2 linked regions of the Notamacropus eugenii genome follow. The protein of the gene in region 2 binds, or shares a complex with, the protein of the main gene of each other region. Links are inferred from orthologs where the notes say so. Each region holds a gene or a part of one and is shown on either strand. Other genes may lie near its edges. The genes, in order: TCAIM and OGDH.

The links.
Region 1: the proteins of OGDH (region 2) and TCAIM are in contact, whole or in part, in a cryo-EM structure (PDB 8I0K), measured with the Homo sapiens proteins. The link is inferred for Notamacropus eugenii from reciprocal best matches to the Homo sapiens genes OGDH and TCAIM. Residues at the interface, in NP_001425937.1 of Homo sapiens: Gly301, Tyr304, Arg323, Tyr354, Arg356, Ile358, Arg364, Asn365, Lys387, Glu391, Tyr394, Cys395, Gly396, Thr398, Glu399, Lys401, Lys402, Lys561, Met602, Pro605, Glu667, Gly668, Ile669, Asn709, Met734, Ala735, Ser736, Pro737, Asn738, Gln772; in NP_001269842.1 of Homo sapiens: Glu214, Gln234, Arg235, Ser236, Trp237, Gly238, His241, Ser244, His247, Ser248, Arg251, Gln255, Asp272, Arg273, Thr286, Met287, Asp288, Val289, His290, His291, Glu331, Leu332, Gln333, Pro334, Val335, Arg375, Tyr376, Glu441, Ser443, His473.

Annotation. Positions count from the first base shown.
Region 1 is NC_092874.1:22,531,273-22,535,176, reverse strand, and holds the start of TCAIM (T-cell activation inhibitor, mitochondrial), read right to left. Parts: upstream 2,254-3,904; 5' UTR 2,109-2,253; intron 1,750-2,108; exon of another isoform or gene 1,356-1,749; intron 85-1,355; exon of another isoform or gene 18-84; intron 1-17. UniProt on the Homo sapiens protein: May regulate T-cell apoptosis.
Region 2 is NC_092872.1:522,892,304-522,896,207, reverse strand, and holds the start of OGDH (2-oxoglutarate dehydrogenase complex component E1), read right to left. Parts: upstream 2,524-3,904; 5' UTR 2,366-2,523; intron 1-2,365. UniProt on the Homo sapiens protein: 2-oxoglutarate dehydrogenase (E1o) component of the 2-oxoglutarate dehydrogenase complex (OGDHC). Participates in the first step, rate limiting for the overall conversion of 2-oxoglutarate to succinyl-CoA and CO(2) catalyzed by the whole OGDHC.

The sequences.
Region 1 (3,904 bases), on a different chromosome or scaffold from region 2:
CACATTAAATACGTTACCTTCAAGGATTGTGCAAGAGAAGAGACCTAATGTCAGTCATGAGAGAGATGAAAGCCCAGAAGAGGTTGACCTGAGGGGGGGAAATGGACCCATGATGGCCTCTGCTGAGGTCCAGGACAAACATCACCCAGCACGGAGAGTGGCTGTATATTTACAGGGGGAGTCTGGACAAAGGTCACCATAGATGGTTCTGAGCTGCAGCCCTGGAGAGAATATGCAAACTGATGAGATCACAACTCCATCCAAATAATACACTCTTGGAATACAATGATCTTGCAGTCCACTAAGACCCTCCAGATCTTTTTCAGACAGAGTTCTAGACTCAACTCTCCCAACTTAGACCTGTGAAATCAACTTTCAGAACCTCTCCTTATGAACTGCTCCCTTCCCTCCTGACTTCACACGGGCTGGTCTGCTCTGCTCATCCGTAAAACAAACAACCAGAACCTAAAACCCTTCACTTCACCACCCGTATCCTTGAGCTACTTATTCTATGTCCATCCTCCCATTTTTGGCCAAATGCCCTGAGAAGGTGGCCTCCGTTCTTCTCCATTTCCCGGCTCAGCTCTTGCTAATCTGGCTCTTCAGCACCAGATCTCTGGGTCACTTCACGGTCCTGGCCCTCCTGAACCTGTTCATGGATCTGACGTGGTTCACACTCTCCTGGGCACTGCTGACCCCGGCGGGCTCTGTTACTGACCATCACCTCTGCGCAGGCCTGCCTCACTGCCGCCCAGTGGACACTTCAAACCCACCGTCGGGGGACCTTCAGGGCGCCCCGCCCCCCTCGTCTTCCTGCCTCTCCATCCTCCTGACACCGGCGGACTCTGACCTCTGGATGCCACTCGCTGGCCGTGCCCTGCCCTGCCCTCCCCCTCCCCCGCCCCGGCTCAGGCCCTCGCACGGACCCCCCTTCACTTGGCGGTGCCTAGTCCAGGGTGGGCTTAGTGTCGCCCTCAGACAAACGCTGTGTGACCACAGAGGCGGGGCTGGCCTTTCATTCTGGTGAGCGCTGGGCGGACGAGAGGCTCGGAGCCACCCCACGCGCGTGGAAGTTCGCGGGGAGTGCAGGGAGCTTCTCGTTAGTTTCGGGACTGGCGCACCGAGATGTAAAGGGAGGACGACCCCGCCCCCCCTCGTCTCCACGGCCTCCCTTCCCCACAGGCCAGGGGGATCCCTGAGCTCTCCCGCCGCCCAGGAAACACCCGGGGCCGCCCCGGGGCAGAGGCCGGCCCGCGCGGTCCGCAGGGCCTGCCCGGCGGCGGGGGAGGGGAGGGGCAGGATCAAGGTCAGGGTGATGACCCCTCCTCACTTAGCCCCGGCGGCGGGGGGCTCACCTGGGCGGGACGCCCGGACCCGCGGCCGGAGCGGCTCACACGGCTACACCTTCCCTCCCCCGAGGCGGCCCGGCGGGGGCCCCGATTCGTACGTGGAAGGCCGCCCACGCGAGGGCACCGACCCGGTCGGTCCATTTCACCTTCGCCCCCACCTCAGCTCCCGAGCCCCCGGAGGAGGAGGCGAGGACGTGAGGGAGGAGCCGCCGGGCCACGCGCCCATTGGCTAATCCGCGCCACGCCTCGCTCCCTGGCCCCGCCCTTTTCTGCAGTGTTACACGGAGGATGACAAGGTGGCAAGGCTAGGCAGCCGAGCATAAAGAGAAGGGAACGGTCCCATCGTGCGCGTCTATTAGCTGAGATGTGGCCGACCTCGTCCCGCCCCATCCAGGGTCTAAGAGGACGGTAGGGGGAGGGGTAAGAGACATCCCCTGCACTTCATTGGATGAGCGGCACCAGGCCCCGCCCCGGACCGCTCCCGGGTCCGCGCGCTCATTGGCTGGGCTGCGTCAGGCCCGAGGAGGACGCGATTGAGGGAGCCGTGCGCCCATTGGCTGAGCCGTGCCAGGCCTTGCTCCGCGGCGCGCGCAGCCTGAGACCAGTTAAAGCTGCTCCCAGTGGCCCTTCCTCCTCAGCCAGTCTTTCCCCACCCACTGGTTCTGGCGGATGCTCGGTGTGCTTCTCCTCCAGCCTTCCCCTGCAGGGGACCCTGGTGCTACCCGCAGCCCTCGGCCTGCCCCTGCCCGATCCCCTTACCAGCCTGTCCCGGGAGAGCTTCGCCCACTCCCGTCGTCTGGTTTAAGGGAGAATGAGCCCGCGGGGAGGGAGGGGATACGGTCCCGCGCGCGCGGGGGTGGGGGACTTGTGCGGCAGGTGGCTGCGCGCGGGGGTGGGGAGGGAGGAGCGTAGCGCCCGCGCGTGCGCACTCGAGCCGGCCCGGCTTCGTCTCCCCCCATTGGTTGGCTGGCGCCGCCCCGGGGGCGCTCGGAGCCGGCCGTTCGGCGCCTGCGCAGTGGCGCCCCCTGGCCTAGGAGCACGTGCTGGGCTCCCGACACTACTGAGCACCGCCTCGCGGGCACCAGGCTTCTTCTACTCCCAGACGTTTCCCAGGTCTCTGGTGACTCCAGTCCTTTTCAAGAGGACGCGTAGGGGAAGAAGAGAGAGCTGTGCAGGGTCCCCAGCCTGACTTTCCTCTCCAGAGGCGGGTTTGTCGGGGATGCAGGGGGACACCCTGGCCCTTGTGAGGCTTCACTGAGGCCTCTTTAAGAAGCGCGTCCGGGGCAGACCCTCAAGGCCGCTGGCCAGAAGAGAAGGTTCCTTCTGAAGCAGAGGTCGTCCAGTCTGCGAGCCCCAGGGTGAGATGGGCGATGGGCTTAAACTTTGGTCTTGGAAGAGAGAGAGACAGAGAAAGGAAGACGGAAGGAAGGCAGGAACCCGGCCGGCAAACCCCAAGGTCACCGGACAGCTTCCGGTCATCCACGAGGGAGAGCGCAAGGGTGAGCCGAGTTAGCCAGCCGCCGGGGCATTGGGGCAGCGTGGACCGCTCACAGGTGGCATCTGTCCTGCCTTCTTGAAGAGGACCATGACGTCAGGGAAGTGATGGCTTGGACCTGAGCACCAGAATGGGGACCCAGCCAGTTGGGTAACTGCCCTCCCCGGGCAGTACTGGGCCAAAGGGTCTGTCTTCTTTCTTTCTCTCCTCTCTCTTCTCAGAGACCAAACCTGAAGCCCATTTCACTCTAGAGCTCATCCCTGCCCAGGCTCCCCTTCATGGTTATATTTGGGGCCCCTCCTGGCTTAGGGTGAATGTCAGTAAGAACTTGCTCTTCTGACCAGCAACCCTGAGGGTCTTACCCTCCGAGTCTGATTTTTTTTTTTCAATCCAAGGGACCATCCCTTAATGGACTTCTTAAAGAGGCCTATTCACTGACAGGGTGTTACCTCACTCAAAGTGAAAACTTGAGAAGGCCTAAAAGGGCCAGGGTCTCCCACTGCATCCTGGGCCATCTCCAGTTGTCCTAATGAATGTCTGGCCACTGGACCCAGATGATTCTGGAGGAGAAAGTGAGGCTGGGGACCTTTCACAGCTCTTCCTCTCTCAAATCAGTCAACTGCAAGTCATGTCATCATTTCCCTGATGTTATGGTTCTCTTCAAAAACAAAGGAGGAACACAACAAGATCGAGGACAGCTACTATGAAGCTGTTCTAGCACTTGAAAGTATTAGAAATACTGTTCATAATTTCACAGGAGACAAAAATCCAAGAAAGAAAAACGTTTGGTTTCAAATGTGAATTCAGAGTTTAGACAAGAAACAAGTGAAGTTCGGGGGTCTTAAAAGAAGAGGGCAAGTTTGACCTCATAGTTATTATCCCTGAGACTTTACATAACATCTAAAACTGGAATGTGGTTCTAAAATTGTTTATCTTATTCAGAAGAAAATGGATAGGTCAAAGGGAGTGGAAGGTGAAAGACATTGTATGATAAGATCACATAAAGAAACCCTGGTGATGACATTGAAATGAAGGTCAATGAGAGGGGAAAGAAAAATAA
Region 2 (3,904 bases):
AAAAGATGGACTGGAGTAGCAGACAAGGTGAGTTTGGCAAAACTGTTTTCCTTTAAAAGATAAAAAAAAAGTTTCATTAATAAGATTCTGAGGGCTTGGTTAGTCATGTTGCAGACCTTTGATAATTCACTTTATTTCCCTATTACTAATTTAAAAACACTTTACTGAACTTCTGGAAAGTGTGAATAAATGAGACTCCTAAGTGAAGAACAGGGAGTTAAGGGAATTGTCAAAGATCGTGGATTAGAGAAGCTACAAATCCCCTTCTTCCTTTAGGATCAGAGATGGAGGGTTGGAAGGGACCTTAGAGGTGGTCATCTGCTACCTAACCTTTCAAGAAAATGAGGATGGGGAAAAGACATTCAAAAAAAAGGAAAAGGACCTATTTATAGCAGTTCTTTTGGTGATGGCTAAGAACTGGAAATCAAAGGGATGCCCATCAATTGGGGAATGGCTAAACAAACTGTGGTATATGACTCCATTATAGGAGTATTACTGTGCTTTAAGAAATGACAAGCAGGATGATTTCAGAAAAACCTGTAAACTGTGAACTGGATGCATAATGAAGTGAACAGAACCAGGAGAACATTATACACACTAACACTTTCCACAAAGAACTGTGACTTAGCTATTCTCAGCAATACAACCATCCAAGACAATCCCAAAGGACTAATGATGGCACATAATATGCCTCCAGAGAAAGAACTGATATTGACTGAATACATACTAAATGAAGCATGCTATTTTTCACTTTCATGTTTTTCTTTTATTTGAATCTTCTTGTACAAAGTGACTAATATGAAAATGTTTTGCATAATTGCACGTGGATAGCCTATATTTGACTGCTTACTGTCTCAGGAAGGGGGGAGGGGAGGAAGTGAGGGGGAAAGATTTTGGAACTCAAAAATTTAAACAAAAATGTTAAAAAATTGGGGGGAAAGCACGTTATCCTCTACATAAAAAAAAGAAAATGAGAAAAAGTGAAATTATTTTTTCCAAGGTCACACATAGTTAGCATGTGGAAGAGCCTGGATTCAAACCTACATCCTCTTCTTTCAAAATCTTAAGTCTTTCTATTGCCTCACAGCCTTGTCTGAAAGGTCATCAACTGGCCAACCTTCTAACATTTTAAGTGTTACTTTGTCACAAAGATATTCTTGCTAGAACAAGCAGGCTCTATGGAAAGGTGCCACTCAGCTTAGGTCTGTTAAACTTCATACACTAGTTTAAAAGTACTTTGTAACTACTATTTTTCTCATTCCCAGAGGTTTGGAAAGAGAAGCAGATAATATCGTAAGTCTCTTAAGGAAAGATAACTGAGGGGGAATATAGCAAGGTCGGAAATGAGAGGTCAAAAAATAAAGTCCTTGATGAGTCTGCCCCTTCAAGGGCCCTGCTCCTTCCCTAGTTTTTAGAGAAAACTAATAGGCTTTAAAAAAGTAACTGTGTGGTTGTAAAAACGCCTCCAGTCTCCTCCAGGACCTCCCTTAGCCCCGAAATCTAAGGAACCGAGAGTCCGAGCGGAAATGCACATCCAAGACGCAGGTTCCACTAGGGGACTCCGGCTCTGCCAGACCCAGGCACAAACAAGACAAGAAGGCGGCTACAACGTCCCACCCAGGGCTCCGCCGGCCGCTCTCCAGCCGGGCTGGACAGCCAGGTGGGCGGGACTCCCGGGCGGGACGGGGCGGGGCGGGGCGGGTCCCCCGGCAAAAGGGAGGGCGAGTTCTACTCCCAAGGCAGCCACACACTCGAAGGAGCAGTAGGGCGTGCCCAGGATTGGAGGGATGGGGGTGGGAGTGGCTCAGACCCGACTTAGAATAGGAAGGGACAAACGGGACGAGGTGTCCGGACAAGATCACCTCCTTTCCAATGCCCACGTGATGTTCTCCCCTCGACCTTGTGGGTCACGGGAGAGGAGGCAGCAACTGGTTCCCTCACATCCGCCCGCCGAAGTAACCCCTCCCCCTCATCCCAGGCCACCAATAAGAATCCTCGCCGCGCCCGCGCGGCACCCGCAGCGCGCGCCGGCAGCCGCCAATCTTCGCCCGCAAACCGCTCCAGCCTTGCCCATTGGCTCCAGAGAAAGTCTTTCAGAATTCTCTCATCCCCACCCGTCTCCCCTCAGCCTCATCCTGGTTCTGACTCTCCTCCCTACCCCGTTCTCTCTCCCCCCCACCCCCTAGTCCCAAACCCCCTCCCCCTCCAGAGGGCCGGCCAAGTCACCCGGGCGGCGGCTGCAAGGACACGATGTCCGTGCTTCTTGTTCGTAGCTATCCCGCCCCTATAGCCCACGGAGCAAAAGCCCCAGTCCTGGACCTAGCCCCGGTCCCAGACAAACAAACAGAAGGAGCAAAGGAGTTACCTGTTTCCGACTCCGGCTCCACCCGGGAATGAGGTACCGACTCCCCCACACTCGGCAACACCAGTGCCTTCGCCCCGCCCCCTCCCGCCCGGCGTGTTACGTCACCACGCAGCCTGTCCCGCCCCCTCTGAGCCTGGAGAAGGTGAAACACCGCCCTTGGGCTCTCAGTTTCCTAACTCGTCTAGTTTATGCATTTGTGCCACCCCCGAGTTCTGGACTCCCGGCGCGTGAAACCGGACAGCTGCCTCTCGGGAGGACCTTCCTCCCTTGGGCCCGCTGTCGCTTGTGAGGCCTAACCCGGGACGCCCCCTCTAGAGATAGGGACCACTGTGCCCGAGTTGTGACGTCACAGTGTTCCGCGTCTCTGCGGCGTCCAGGGCCAATGGAATGTTGTGACAGTGGAAGGGCGCGCGTGCTGGACTCGCGCGCAGACCCTGGAGCGCAGCGCGGAGAAGGCGGTAGAAAAGATGGGGCCAAGCAGGGAGGCACCTGGGGCCCCCGCCCGCACGTGGGTTCTCGACTCTTTCCGCACGGGTCACACAGCGCTTAGTCATCGTTTCTAGGGCCCTGCCTTTCCTTAGATGTTGACAGCTGGGGCTGGAACCTCATCTGAGATGGAATAATTACTTAGTTAAATTCAGTTCAGCAAGCATTTATCCACCAGTCGCTTGATTGGATTAGTGAAATATTAATGTTTTCATGAGATAATAGGAATAAGTACGTGTAGGTTAGAGAGCAGCAGCCTCTTTCACATGGGGATTCTGAAGTTTATTTTTTTAATATGGAATATGCTGTTTCAATGTGACTTTTTTCCTTTGTAATTCTTTGTAATTTATTTTATACATTTACAAACATTATTCTGAGAAGGGGTCCATAGGCTTTGCCATTATGCCAAAAAGGGATCCATGACAGATGAACAGTTAAGAACAGCTGTTGTAGAGGTGTTCTGGTATGACTTTACCTCAGGAAGTCCTGGCTTCAAATTATTCTTGGTGTACTCACTAGTTTTGTGAAACCTAGATCATTTAACTTGTTTGTGCTAGGCTAAACAATAACAACAAAAACTTTTTGTTGTTTAGTCGTATCTAACTCTTCCTGACCCCAAATGGAATTTTCTTGGCAAAGTTACTGAAGTGGTTTGCTATTCCTTCCCTACCTCGTTTTACAGATGAGGAAACTGAGGCAAACAGAGTTAAGTGACTTGATGAAGTTAGTAAGTATCTGAGGCCAGATTTGAACTCAGGTCTTCCTGACTCTGGACCCTGCACTTTAGCCCTGGGGGAAAAAATAGCCAAGGAAGAATATTGTCTGACAGGTGATAATGTTTAATATAAAATTTTGGAATAATCTCTTTGTTCTCTCTAAAGCAAACTCAGAGAATGCCTCTTCCTATGTCAGCAAAAGCCAGCCAAAGCTGACTCTGCACTCCTTGGGAGACCTTTAACCTATGACATATCTTGAATAATGGACACATACTACGTTATGGGATATTAATGGTAAAGAAAAAATAGGCATTCTGGGTTTCTATTGAACATTGTT